Caenorhabditis elegans: one gene and its partner. The protein of the gene in region 1 interacts with the protein of each later gene in a pairwise test. Each region holds a gene or a part of one and is shown on either strand. Other genes may lie near its edges.

The links. Proteins that work in one complex are often made in the same cells at the same time.
Region 2: the proteins of Y34D9A.7 (region 1) and rbm-7 interact in a two-hybrid assay, tested with the Caenorhabditis elegans proteins (one large-scale study listed by BioGRID).

The regions. Positions count from the first base shown.
Region 1 is NC_003279.8:1,039,674-1,044,664, forward strand, and holds the start of Y34D9A.7 (PSP proline-rich domain-containing protein), read left to right. Parts: upstream 1-1,798; 5' UTR 1,799-1,810; coding exon 1,811-2,017; intron 2,018-3,682; coding exon 3,683-4,252; intron 4,253-4,991. Other genes in the region: Y34D9A.3 (THO complex subunit 2), read left to right, coding at 1-208, 441-973, 1,025-1,090.
Region 2 is NC_003281.10:12,927,736-12,933,503, reverse strand, and holds rbm-7 (RRM domain-containing protein), read left to right. Parts: upstream 1-1,636; 5' UTR 1,637-1,642; coding exon 1,643-1,822; intron 1,823-1,867; coding exon 1,868-2,076; exon of another isoform or gene 2,077-2,116; coding exon of another isoform or gene 2,117-2,322; intron 2,323-2,366; coding exon of another isoform or gene 2,367-2,412; intron 2,413-3,558; coding exon of another isoform or gene 3,559-3,612; exon of another isoform or gene 3,613-3,631; intron 3,632-3,786; coding exon 3,787-3,923; intron 3,924-4,824; coding exon 4,825-5,030; 3' UTR 5,031-5,134; downstream 5,135-5,768. Other genes in the region: Y37D8A.19 (uncharacterized protein), read right to left, coding at 2,117-2,322, 2,367-2,412, 3,559-3,612; mrps-10 (Small ribosomal subunit protein uS10m), read right to left, coding at 5,719-5,768.

The DNA.
Region 1 (4,991 bases):
GATCGAAAAGGATTAGCACTGAGAATTCAACAAATTTCACAAAAAATGATGCAAAAATCTGGAAAAATCGAGGAAAAAACCGCGATTTTCATTAAATTCCCGCAAATTTTGTTGGAAATTGCCGATTTTTCGATTTTGCCACCGAATTCTTCAAATTTGCTGTTTTCTACGTTAATTTTGGGATTTTCTGCGTTTTACGACGGAAATGGTGGGTAAAAACGACGATTTTAGGCAAAAAACGATAAAAAAATCGTTAAAAAAAATTGCAAAAATAGATTTAAATAGACCCGCGGGTATCGCAACGAAAATCTAGGATTTGAGAATTTAGTTGTGCGGCTTTAAGATTACTGTAGCTAATTTTTATTGATTTTTCGCGATTTTTTCAGTTTTTCCGGTGTAAAAACGCGAAAAATATCTTTTAAAAAAAATTTTTTTTTCAGAAGCCCAATTCAACGACTTATTTCGTCAATTTCTCTCAAAAACGATTCCCAACTCGACATGCACGTCTCCAATGGAAATTATTGAGGAAATTTGCGAAAAAATCCGAATAAAATCCAATTTTCGCCACTTGCCAGACATTTCATTCTTGAAACCCAATCCCGACACGATTATCACACAAATTTCGGAGATTTTCGACACGAAAATCGCCAAAAACGACGAACGAATCGTCGAAATTTGCTCGATTTTGTTGGAAAAGCTGGCGCCGCAACTTCAAGCCTTCGGAGATCGTGGCAAGACCCCATTTTGTCAAATTGTGAATATTATTGTTGATAAATATGTGAAAAATTCGGTGGAACCCGTCAATTTTCAACTTTTTCGGGAAGTTTGTGAGCGAGCTGTCGACGGATTTGCGATGATGACAGAGCAATGGAATTTCCTGTTTCTTTCCGCAAAAATCCTGACGATTTTGAACTTGACGCGGCGGGAAGCGGGCTTATTCGCTGTTTTAATGAGAAAAATCAATAAAAATGAGGTAAAATTAGGTTTTTTTTAATAAAATTCACAAAAAATCGATTTTTTGCAGATTCTTCTCACAAAACTACGCGGCAAGAAGGAATTTGTGCAGTTGGAGGGCTCTTTGGAGCTATAAATGAAGAGAATTTTGGGTAAAAAGCTGGTCAAAACTACACGATGGACGGGCTTTATCGATTATTTTGGAATTTTTTTTTGTTGAAAAAATAACATTTTTAAATTATTTTTTTGTTTTTATTGAAAAGAGTAACAATTTTTGGCTCTGAAATATTTTTTTTTATTCGAAAAATTTTTTTTGTCGGACAGGTTCTGGATTTTTTTGTGAAATTTTCACTGAAAACTCGCAAATCGGAGTGAAAATTGAACAAAAATCGATAAAAAATGACAAAAAACGATTTAAATGGACCCACAGGTCTCGCAACGAAAATCTAGGATTTAAAATTTTAAGTGTGCGCCTTTAAGATTACTGTAGCTAGTTTTTAATGTTTTTTCGCGATTTTTCCAATTTTTTTTTCGGTATTAAAGTGCGAAAAATGTCGGAATTTATCAGATTTCACAAAACAAACTTGAAAAATCGGCGATTTTCGTTAAATTCCCGCAAATTTCTTTTGATATCGCCTATTTTTTCACCGAATTCTTAAAATTTGACGTTTTCCACATTAATTTTTGGAAAAATAAAATTTCTGCGTTTTTTCGGAGAGGTTCTAGGTTTTTCTTGTTAATTTATATTGTTTTTTGTTGGTTTTTTGGAAAAATTCCATTAGCATTTTCAGAGTTTCCGCGAATTTTCAAATTTTTTAAAAACTAATTTCCGTTTCAATATTCCAGTAGTAAAAAAATGTCTGAAGATGGAGAAATATCACTTTCACCCAATTCGGCGGCACTTATGGATGGATTAGATGACTTTATAATCGATAAAAATTGCTCGGGAATCATTCCGAATGAGGATTTGGAGAGGGAAACACCATCAGCTGATGATGATGCGGAAGTTAAAACTAGTAGTAATTGGGCGAAAAATATGCGGAAAAGAATGTTTGGGGAACAGGTACTAATTGAAAATTGTGGAGAAAATTGAAGAAAAATCAGGGGGATTTTCCCAAAAAATTGGAGAAAAATGTGAATTTTCTATGAAAAACGTCGAAAAAAGTCGATTTTTGTGGGAATTAAGGTGCAAACGCCCTCCAATGACAGTCAAAAACGCTCCGGCGGTCACAAAATTTGGGTCTCGTTAGGTATTGGCGCCGCCGGCAAACCTTGAATCTTTTTTCTGAGAAAAATTACAAAAATCGAAAAATTCAAGATTTTTCGAATTTTTTTCGGTTTTTTAAAGTTGTGAAAAATTGGTTTAAAAAACTGAAACTTTAAATTTTTAAATTTTTTTTTTAATTTTTCTCTCGTAAATTTTGGAAAAAAAAACGAAAAAAGCATTGAAAATTTTCGAATTTTCGTTTTTTTTTCAATAAAAAAATTCAAAAAAACCGAAAAAAAAAAAAAAAATCTAGAATTTTTGGTTTTTTTTAAATAAATAATTTTGTGATAAAAATATGCTTTCTTCAATAATTTAGTCACAAAAATTTCAATTTCAAAACTTTGAAAAACTTTTTTTTCCGTTAAAAAAAATAAAACGAAAAAAAGTTTTAAAAATCTTCAATTTTTCGTTTTTTTTTTCAAAAATTTAATCCGTTTTTTACGAAAAAAAATGTTTTTATTGCTTCATTAGACTCAAAATTGTCTGAAAAAAACCAAATTTCATAATGAAACTACTTGAAAACTTCTCAAAAAAAAAGTTATGGCGGCTCGAAAAATGGCCTAAAATTAGTTAAAATTTGAAATTTGACCGACTTGTCGAGCGGCTGGAAACTTTTTTTTTTTTTTGAAATCACTGTCAAATTTTGAGTATACAATGTACTTATCTTGGGTTTTCAACTCGATTTAAGTATTTTAAAGTAGATTTTTAAATTTTTTAACCAAATCTCGCCGGAGGCACCACGTTTTCAAGATCTGTTCGAAAACAAGGTTTTCAGGATCTGGCACCGTGCCAACTGCAGTTTTCTCCGTGAAAACCGAAACAACGATGCTCCGATGTTACGCGTCGCGTGTTGTTTAGCGTTCAGAAAGATATTTTTTGAAATGTTCGGAGCATCGTTGTTTCGTTTTTCATGGAGAAAACTGCAGTTGGCACAGTGCCAGATGTCTGAAAACTATGTTTTTGAACAGATCTTGAAAACGTGGTGCCTCCGGCGTGAGTTGGTTTAAAACAATTTAAAAATCGACTTTAAAATACCTAAATGAAGTTGAAAACGCAAGATAATTAAAATTGTATACCCAAAATTTGACGGTGATTTAAAAAAAAATTAGTTTCCAGCCGCTTGACAAGTCGGTTAAATTTCCGATTTTAACTAATTTTAGGCCATTTTTTGAGCCGTCATAACTTTTTTTTTGAGAAGTTTTCAAGAAGTTTCATTATGAAATTCGGTGTTTTCAGACAATTTTGAGTCTAATTAAGCAATAAAAAAATTCGACTACACCATCTTTAAAGTTTTTATAAACTTTTTTTTTCCGTTTTGTGAAAAATCTGAAAAAAAAAACAAAATTCAAGATTTTTAAATACTTTTTTTTCCGTTTTTTCCCGCAACAAATATTATTTGTTTGGAAATCAAAAAAGAAAGTTTTTAGCGAAAAAGTCCCAAAAAAAAATTTTTTTTTGCAGTGCGACGAGCCCGAAGAATCGGAAAAAAAGCGTCGCCGTACAAATTGTTGCTTCAACTGCCGCGGCGGCGATCACTCTATAGCTCAATGCCCGGAGCCCAAGAATTTCGCGGAAATCCGGAAGAACAAGCTCGAATTCATGAATGACAAGCAGCAGCAGCACCAACCAACTGGACGGATTTCTCAGGTCACCGAGCAGCAGCAGGAAGCCAAGTTTAAGCCGGGAAGACTGAGCCAGAATCTACGAAAAGCGCTGAGCCTTGGACCGGATGATATTCCAGAATGGGTTTATAGGATGAGAAGATTGGGATTCTATCGGGGATACCCACCGGGTTATTTGAGAAAATCGTTGAAACGGGAATTTGCGACGTTGAAAATCTACTCGGAAGATCATAATCAGGAGGAGGTGGATAATGATGATGATGAAGAAGCCCGTCCGGCACCGACAATTCAGTCGGAAAAAGTGCATTTCTATATGGGATTCAATAAAACGTATGGAGCACTGAGAGATCGTGAACGGGGACGATTTGAAGTACCGCCGTTTGATATTTTTTGTGAAATGTTGCAGACGGTAAGCGCTGAAGAAATGGAGGAGTTTTTAGGAAAATTCGGCTAGAATTGACACGAAAAATGGAATTTAATTCTTCTTTTGAAATTCTGAAAAATTGATTTTTTTAAATTAATTTAATTTTTAAAAAATTAAATAAAATCGAATTTTCACAATTTTCAAACTTTTCTAATTATTTTTTAAACCGAAAAAAAAAACGAAAAATAAGAGTTTTTATGAAATATGTTATTATTTAAAAAAAATCAAAAATCTTATTTAAAAAAAAACTAATTTCTACCGAAAAAATGAAAAAAATAGAATTTTCATAATTTTCGAAGTTTTCTAATTATTTTGAAAATTCTGAAATTTCCAGATATTGAAATAAAAAATATTTAATTGTTTAAAATATTTAATTGTTTAAAATTTAGAATTGTTTAAAATCCTCAATTCTCTTTTTTATTTTCAAAATACAAAATTAAAAAAAAAACCGAAATTTCTATTTTTTTTTTTGTGAAAAGCGAAAAAACAAACTAGAAAAATAGCCTAAAGTTGAGGAAAAATGGAATTTAGTTAAAAAAAAAATTTAGATTAACTTTTAAAAAATTATTGAAAAATTCTAAAAAATTTATTTTCAAAAAAATGAATCCAATTTATTAAAAAATTGAAAATCACTGAAAATGGGTAAAACTGTAAAATATGCCGCCGGAACTCATAATTTTACAGTTTTACTCATTTTCAGTGATTTTTAATGAACAATTTGCAT
Region 2 (5,768 bases), on another chromosome or scaffold:
GCAAGCAGCGGTGAAAGTGGGCATTGTAATATGATTATTGGCCACTTTCACCGCTGCTTGCCCACTGAATACATAATTTTTTACTTGGAAATTGTTTTAGCATCTGCAAAAAGTATTTATTTATCAGTTTTAATAAGAAAAAACGAAAAAAATCGATGAAAAACAAAAGAAAACAGGCGGAAAACAAAGCAAGATAAATGGCCGCTGAAACTTGTCGGCCCCTCGGCCATGGCCTAGAAACCACTTTTCCTCGTCCCTCGTGAGGAAAAAGTTGCAGTGGCGCGCGAGACAGATGTGGCGTTGTTCCAATTTCTTGGCAATTAGCCAAGAAAATGGGAGAACGAACGGGGAAGAAGAGATATGGGAGACGACGGGGGAGACCCAGAAAAGGCGGAAAGTGAAAGAGCTGGGGAAAAGTAGTGGAATATCAAATTTAATCAAAATTCTTCGAAAAAAGGGGTTTTTTGCATTAAAAATCATGTTTTATGTTCATTTTATGTTTTATTACATGTTATCAGTGAAAATAATTGTTTTTGTCATCAAAAAGTATTTGTGAGCATGCTCATGAGCACATATGTGTTTGAGACAAGATTTCTAACAATTTATGGTTTAAACACACTAAATAAAGTACGAAATTACGATTAGCGTTTAAAAAAAATCAAAAATCTTTGTAAAAAATGCCAAAGAAATCAAAATTTGATGTCTTATCATCATCATTTGTGGGTTTTTAATGAATCGTCTAGCAAAAGAGAGGCAGGAAATTGCACTTTTCAGAAAAAAAACCCCACGAGGGGGCGCCTGATCTTGTTTTTTCTCGATAAAAATTGCGGAACAACGGAGAAATATTTATTTATCAATCTAGAAAAATATTGTTCCTCATAGCCTGAACCTGAAAAGAACTTTCTAGTTTTTTTGAAACTGCTATGAAATAGTTAGTAAAACAAATAAATAATGACTCATTTGGGCGCTCTGACGATCTGAAAAGCAGGTAAATTCGTCATACAGGAGAAAAATGAGGAAGAAATAACCTTTTTTCTTTTGAATTAAAAAAAAGCGGACATTTTTCTGAGGAAGAAGGGGGCTAAAGGGTGGCTAAAGGGCTCTTGAGACGGATTCGATTTATTTTTTGAGGTAGAAATATGGATTTTTAAGTCAATTTAAGTTTGGTTTCAAACAAAGCTAATTCTCAGGAATTGAGCGGTTTAGCTGTATAAAAATTTTAAAAATAAATACACCGCTCGCTCCATGGAGAAATATTAATTTTTGCTTTAAATCGAACTGTAGAGCTCTGCGAGCCTCTTCTCCACTCGACACACGGAAAAAACTAGTAAAAGTACCTGAAATATACTTTGGAAACAATTAATTTTCACAAAAAACGGAAAAAGGTTAAGTAAATTTGCTAAAACAACCAGTTTTTGTCGGCTAGGTTCTACTTTTCTAGTGCCGTGCTGGCTTTTCTCTATGCACGAGATATGCGCCAGCAAAATCGAGAAACGCGTCAGCGAGGACATGTTTGCGCCATCCGGGAATGGGAATGGGATTTATTTGGTTTTTCTCGTTTTTCTCGCTTTTTCTCTCACATGAGTGAATTTTCAGCCTTTTTTTCGAAATTTCGAATTTAAATTTGAATTTTCAGCAAAAAATGGAAATAAAACCAACGCCATCGCCTCCAGAAGAGCGCACAATATACGTGGCCAATTTTTCAGAAGAAGTCGATGAAGAATTGCTCGAAGAGCTTTTTATTCAAGCCGGCCCCGTTGTAAAAGTTATTCTGAGAGATGTGAGGGATTCTAATGCAAAATTCGCATTGGTGGAGTTTGAGGTAAGCAATTTCGCTGAAAAATTTAAAAAAAAAAATAAATTTCAGGACGAATTATCTGTACTATTCGCCATTGAATTGATGAATGGAGTGCGACTTTTCAATCAAGAACTACAAGTAAAGCCGCGAAATGGCACAAATCAGGAGGAATTATATAAGCGAAAAAAAGGAGAAATCGAGGAAAGAGTTCGATCGGTAGCGGCACCGGATCGAGACGGAAGACGGGATAGCTATAGAGATGATCGGAACAGGAATAGGTAGAGTTTATTGGATTAATTCAAGGATTTTAAGGCTCAATTAGCACGATCTGACGCAGCAAACACAGCTTCTTCCGTTTGTCGACGGGAATCCGGAGGCGCGATCTGCGGAGAGCCCGGCGGCAAGAGCAACGGATGCACAACATCCTGGGCATCGTTCGGCTGGATTTGAAGCAGCGTCAGTGCACCGAGCATTTGTAGACTGGCCGTCAATGTTGGCGACGAAGCCGGCGGCAGTGGAGCAGGCTGGAAATTGAATTTTATTGATTTTTTAGCGTTAAAAATCGTACCAAAGCAACTTGGGAATCTGTTAGCATTGTTATTGTTCCAGATGATCTGAAAAGAAACAAAATTGATTTTTTTTTTGAATTTTATAATGAAACTTCTTGAAAACTTTTCCAAAAAAAATTATGACGGCTCAAAAAATGGCCTAAAATTCGTTAAAATCGGAAATTTGATCGACTTGTCAATGTCGCAGCGGCTGGAAATATATTTTTTTGAAATCACCGTTAAATTTTGAGTCTACAAGTTGATATTTTGCGTTTTAAACTTGATTAACAAGGAAAGTCGAAAAATTTAATGTCTGACTTTGGCATGACATAGTATTTTTCGATAAAAGAGTAAAAATAATGATGCCTCCAAAAAATTTAGCTGCCCGGTTCAGGTTCAGCAAAGTTATGACGTTTTGGAAGTGACTAAAACACCTTTTTACAAAATTTCAAAATTTTCAACAAAAAAAAATTTCTAAAAAGAGGAGCAAATGTGTGTAAATTATTCAAAACAATGAAAAACATATGCTATGCAAGTTTTAGGTTATACCTCTCAAGAAAACCCACAAATTAAATCTGCAAAAAAATGTACTTTTTGGAATTTTCCTCAAGTTATGTAGATCAAGCAATGTGCTTTTTGGTCTGTGGTGAGAAAAAACGTGTATGATAAATGTTTTTCTCATTTTTGGATAAGTTAAAACAGTTTTTTCCTCTTTTTAGAAAATTTTTTTTTTTTTTGAAAATTTTGAAATTTTGTAAAAAGGTGTTCCAGTCACTTTCAAAACGTCATAACTTTGCCGAACCTGGACCGGGCAGCTAAATTTTTTGGAGGCATCATTATTTTCACTCTTTTATCGAAAAAAATACTATGTCATGCCAAAGTCAGACATTAAATTTTTCGACTTTCCTTGTTAATCAAGTTTAAAACGCAAAATATCAACTCGTAGACTCAAAATTTAACGGTGATTTCAAAAAAAAAATATTTCCAGCCGCTGCGACATTGACAAGTCGGTCAAATTTCCGATTTCATCTAATTTTAGGCCATTTTTTGAGCCGTCATAACTTTTTTCTGAAAAGTTTTCAAGAAGTTTCATTATGAAATTCGGTGTTTTCAGACAATTTTGAGCCTAATAAGGCAATTTTTAAAAAAAATTCTACTACACCAGTGGTGTAACACCACCTTTAATTATAAAAAACATTATAAAAAACTCACGCTCTGCCCCGCAGCCACAGAAATTACAGCGAAAAATACGATAAGAAGCTTCATCTCTAACTCAGACGATGATAAAAAGATCAAATTCGGCTTTATTTTATACCCGGCGTTGGCTTGGTTTCTGTCTCACAACATTTTTTTTTTGATTAAAAATCTCAGAAATCGAAGAAAAACGTTGAAAATCAACAAAAAAAGGCCGAAAAATCATTTTTTTTTTGTCTTTTCCAGAAACGGAAACAACCGTGACTCATGGCAGCAGCAGCAGCCTCCTCGTCATCATCGACAATATGATCCTCTTCCACCTCCACCGCCACCTCCACTGATGGGAGGATCCGGAGGACATTGGAGAAGCGGAGGGGAAAGAGGTAGCAAAAAAATCGATTTTTAGTTGAAATTTCTGAAAAATTGGAGATTTTTAGGCCTGAAATACATGAGAACGGGCTCAAAATAACTGAAAAATGGAAAAAAAATCTTTTTTTTAAAAATTTTTTTTTGCAAAAAATTCAAAATTTCAACCTTTTTTCCGCAAAAAAACATGCTGAAACCCTAAAAATCGATAATTTGCAAGGTTTTTGCGGAAATTAGCCGGAAAATTTGATTTTTAAAAAATTGAGCCAATTTTTGAGGAATTTTAGAAGAACAAATCTATAATTTTTCCGAAACCCCCTCAATATAAGTGAGAAATCGGTGAAAAAATCTTAATTAGAAAAAATTTTTTTTTGTTCAAAAATCTGAAAAATTGGAGATTTTTAGCCCTAAATTGCATAAAAGCAGGCTCAATTTACCTAATTAGGCCTAAAATAACTCAAAAATTGGGAAAAAAAATTACACCAGACGAAAAAAAGAGCATCGTTTGTCCAATTTTCAGACATTTTTCCGCAAAAAAAAATTGCTGAAGCTCAAAAGTGGCCAATTTTAGAGAGTTTCAGGGACTTTTTTTGCGGCAAAAAGTCTGAAAAATCATTCCTAAAATCAAATATTAGAGAAAAATTCAATGAAAACCAATAAATTTTCTGCAGAAAAACGCAGAAATGTCGGAAAAATTCGTTAATTTTTCCAAAAAATCGATTTTTTTTGCAGAAGTTTCTGAAAAGTTCTAGATTTTTAGACCTAAATTTCATGAGAACAAGCTTAATGTACCTAAAATAACTAAAAAAAATTGAATAAAATTGAAAAAGCTGAAAAAAGTTCGCTGAAAAAAGTAACCAATTCAGCCGAAAAACGCAAGAATGTCGGAAAAAAAATCGAAAAATCAATATTTTCCAGGTCCTCCACAATATTCGACTCCGCAAATGCTTCCTCATCAACATTTTGTAAATCAAATGATGCAGCAACAAATTAATAGATCCGCTCCTCCGTACAATGGACGTCATCAGAATTCCACGCCACACCGTCATCACGATCGTCATGGATATGACCGAAGCTCGAGCCGGCATCATCGCAATGATGACAGAAGACGTGAACGTTATTGATCGATGATTCGGGCGGGAAATCATAATTATTTTGATCTTTTTCACTTGTTTTGCCATGTTTTTTGGTCTCATTTTATATATTTAATAAAAGCAAACACAATTTGAAAATATAGAGAAAAATGCAACAACAAAGATCTACTGGAAATTTTCAAAAAAATTTATTTTTAGGCTCCGCCCACTTCCTGGATATCCGGAAATTTCAAGTGATTTTTTTGGAATTTTTTTCCTTTCCAGAAAAACAGATATCTCCAGGAAGTGGGCGGGGCCTAATAAGCCGTTTTTTTTTGAAAAATAAAAAAATCCAAAAAAATTTATTTTTAGGCTCCGCCCACTTCTTGGGCATTCGGAAATTTTCAGTGTTTTTTTTGGAATTTATTTTCCAAAATAACCTATCTCCAAGAAGTGGGCGGGGCCTAAAAAGCAGTTTTTTTTTGAAAATTGTTAAAAAATCAAAAAATTCGGATTTTTTTTGGAAAATCCTAAAAATTCAGAAATTCCACAGAAAAAAAACACCTTTTTTTCAATTTTGGCTAAATTTTGGCCGACCAACCAGCGAATTGCTTCGCCCACTTTCCGACCAATCAGGTGAGAGGTCCACCTTTATTATTTCATTAAAAGTAAACAATTTGAAGAAGGAAAAAAAAACGAAATAACAATAAGGATCTACACACTAGAATTTGGTTATAAATCAATTTTTCTGAATTGTCAGCGGTAGTGGTTGAAGTTCGGTGAATCCGA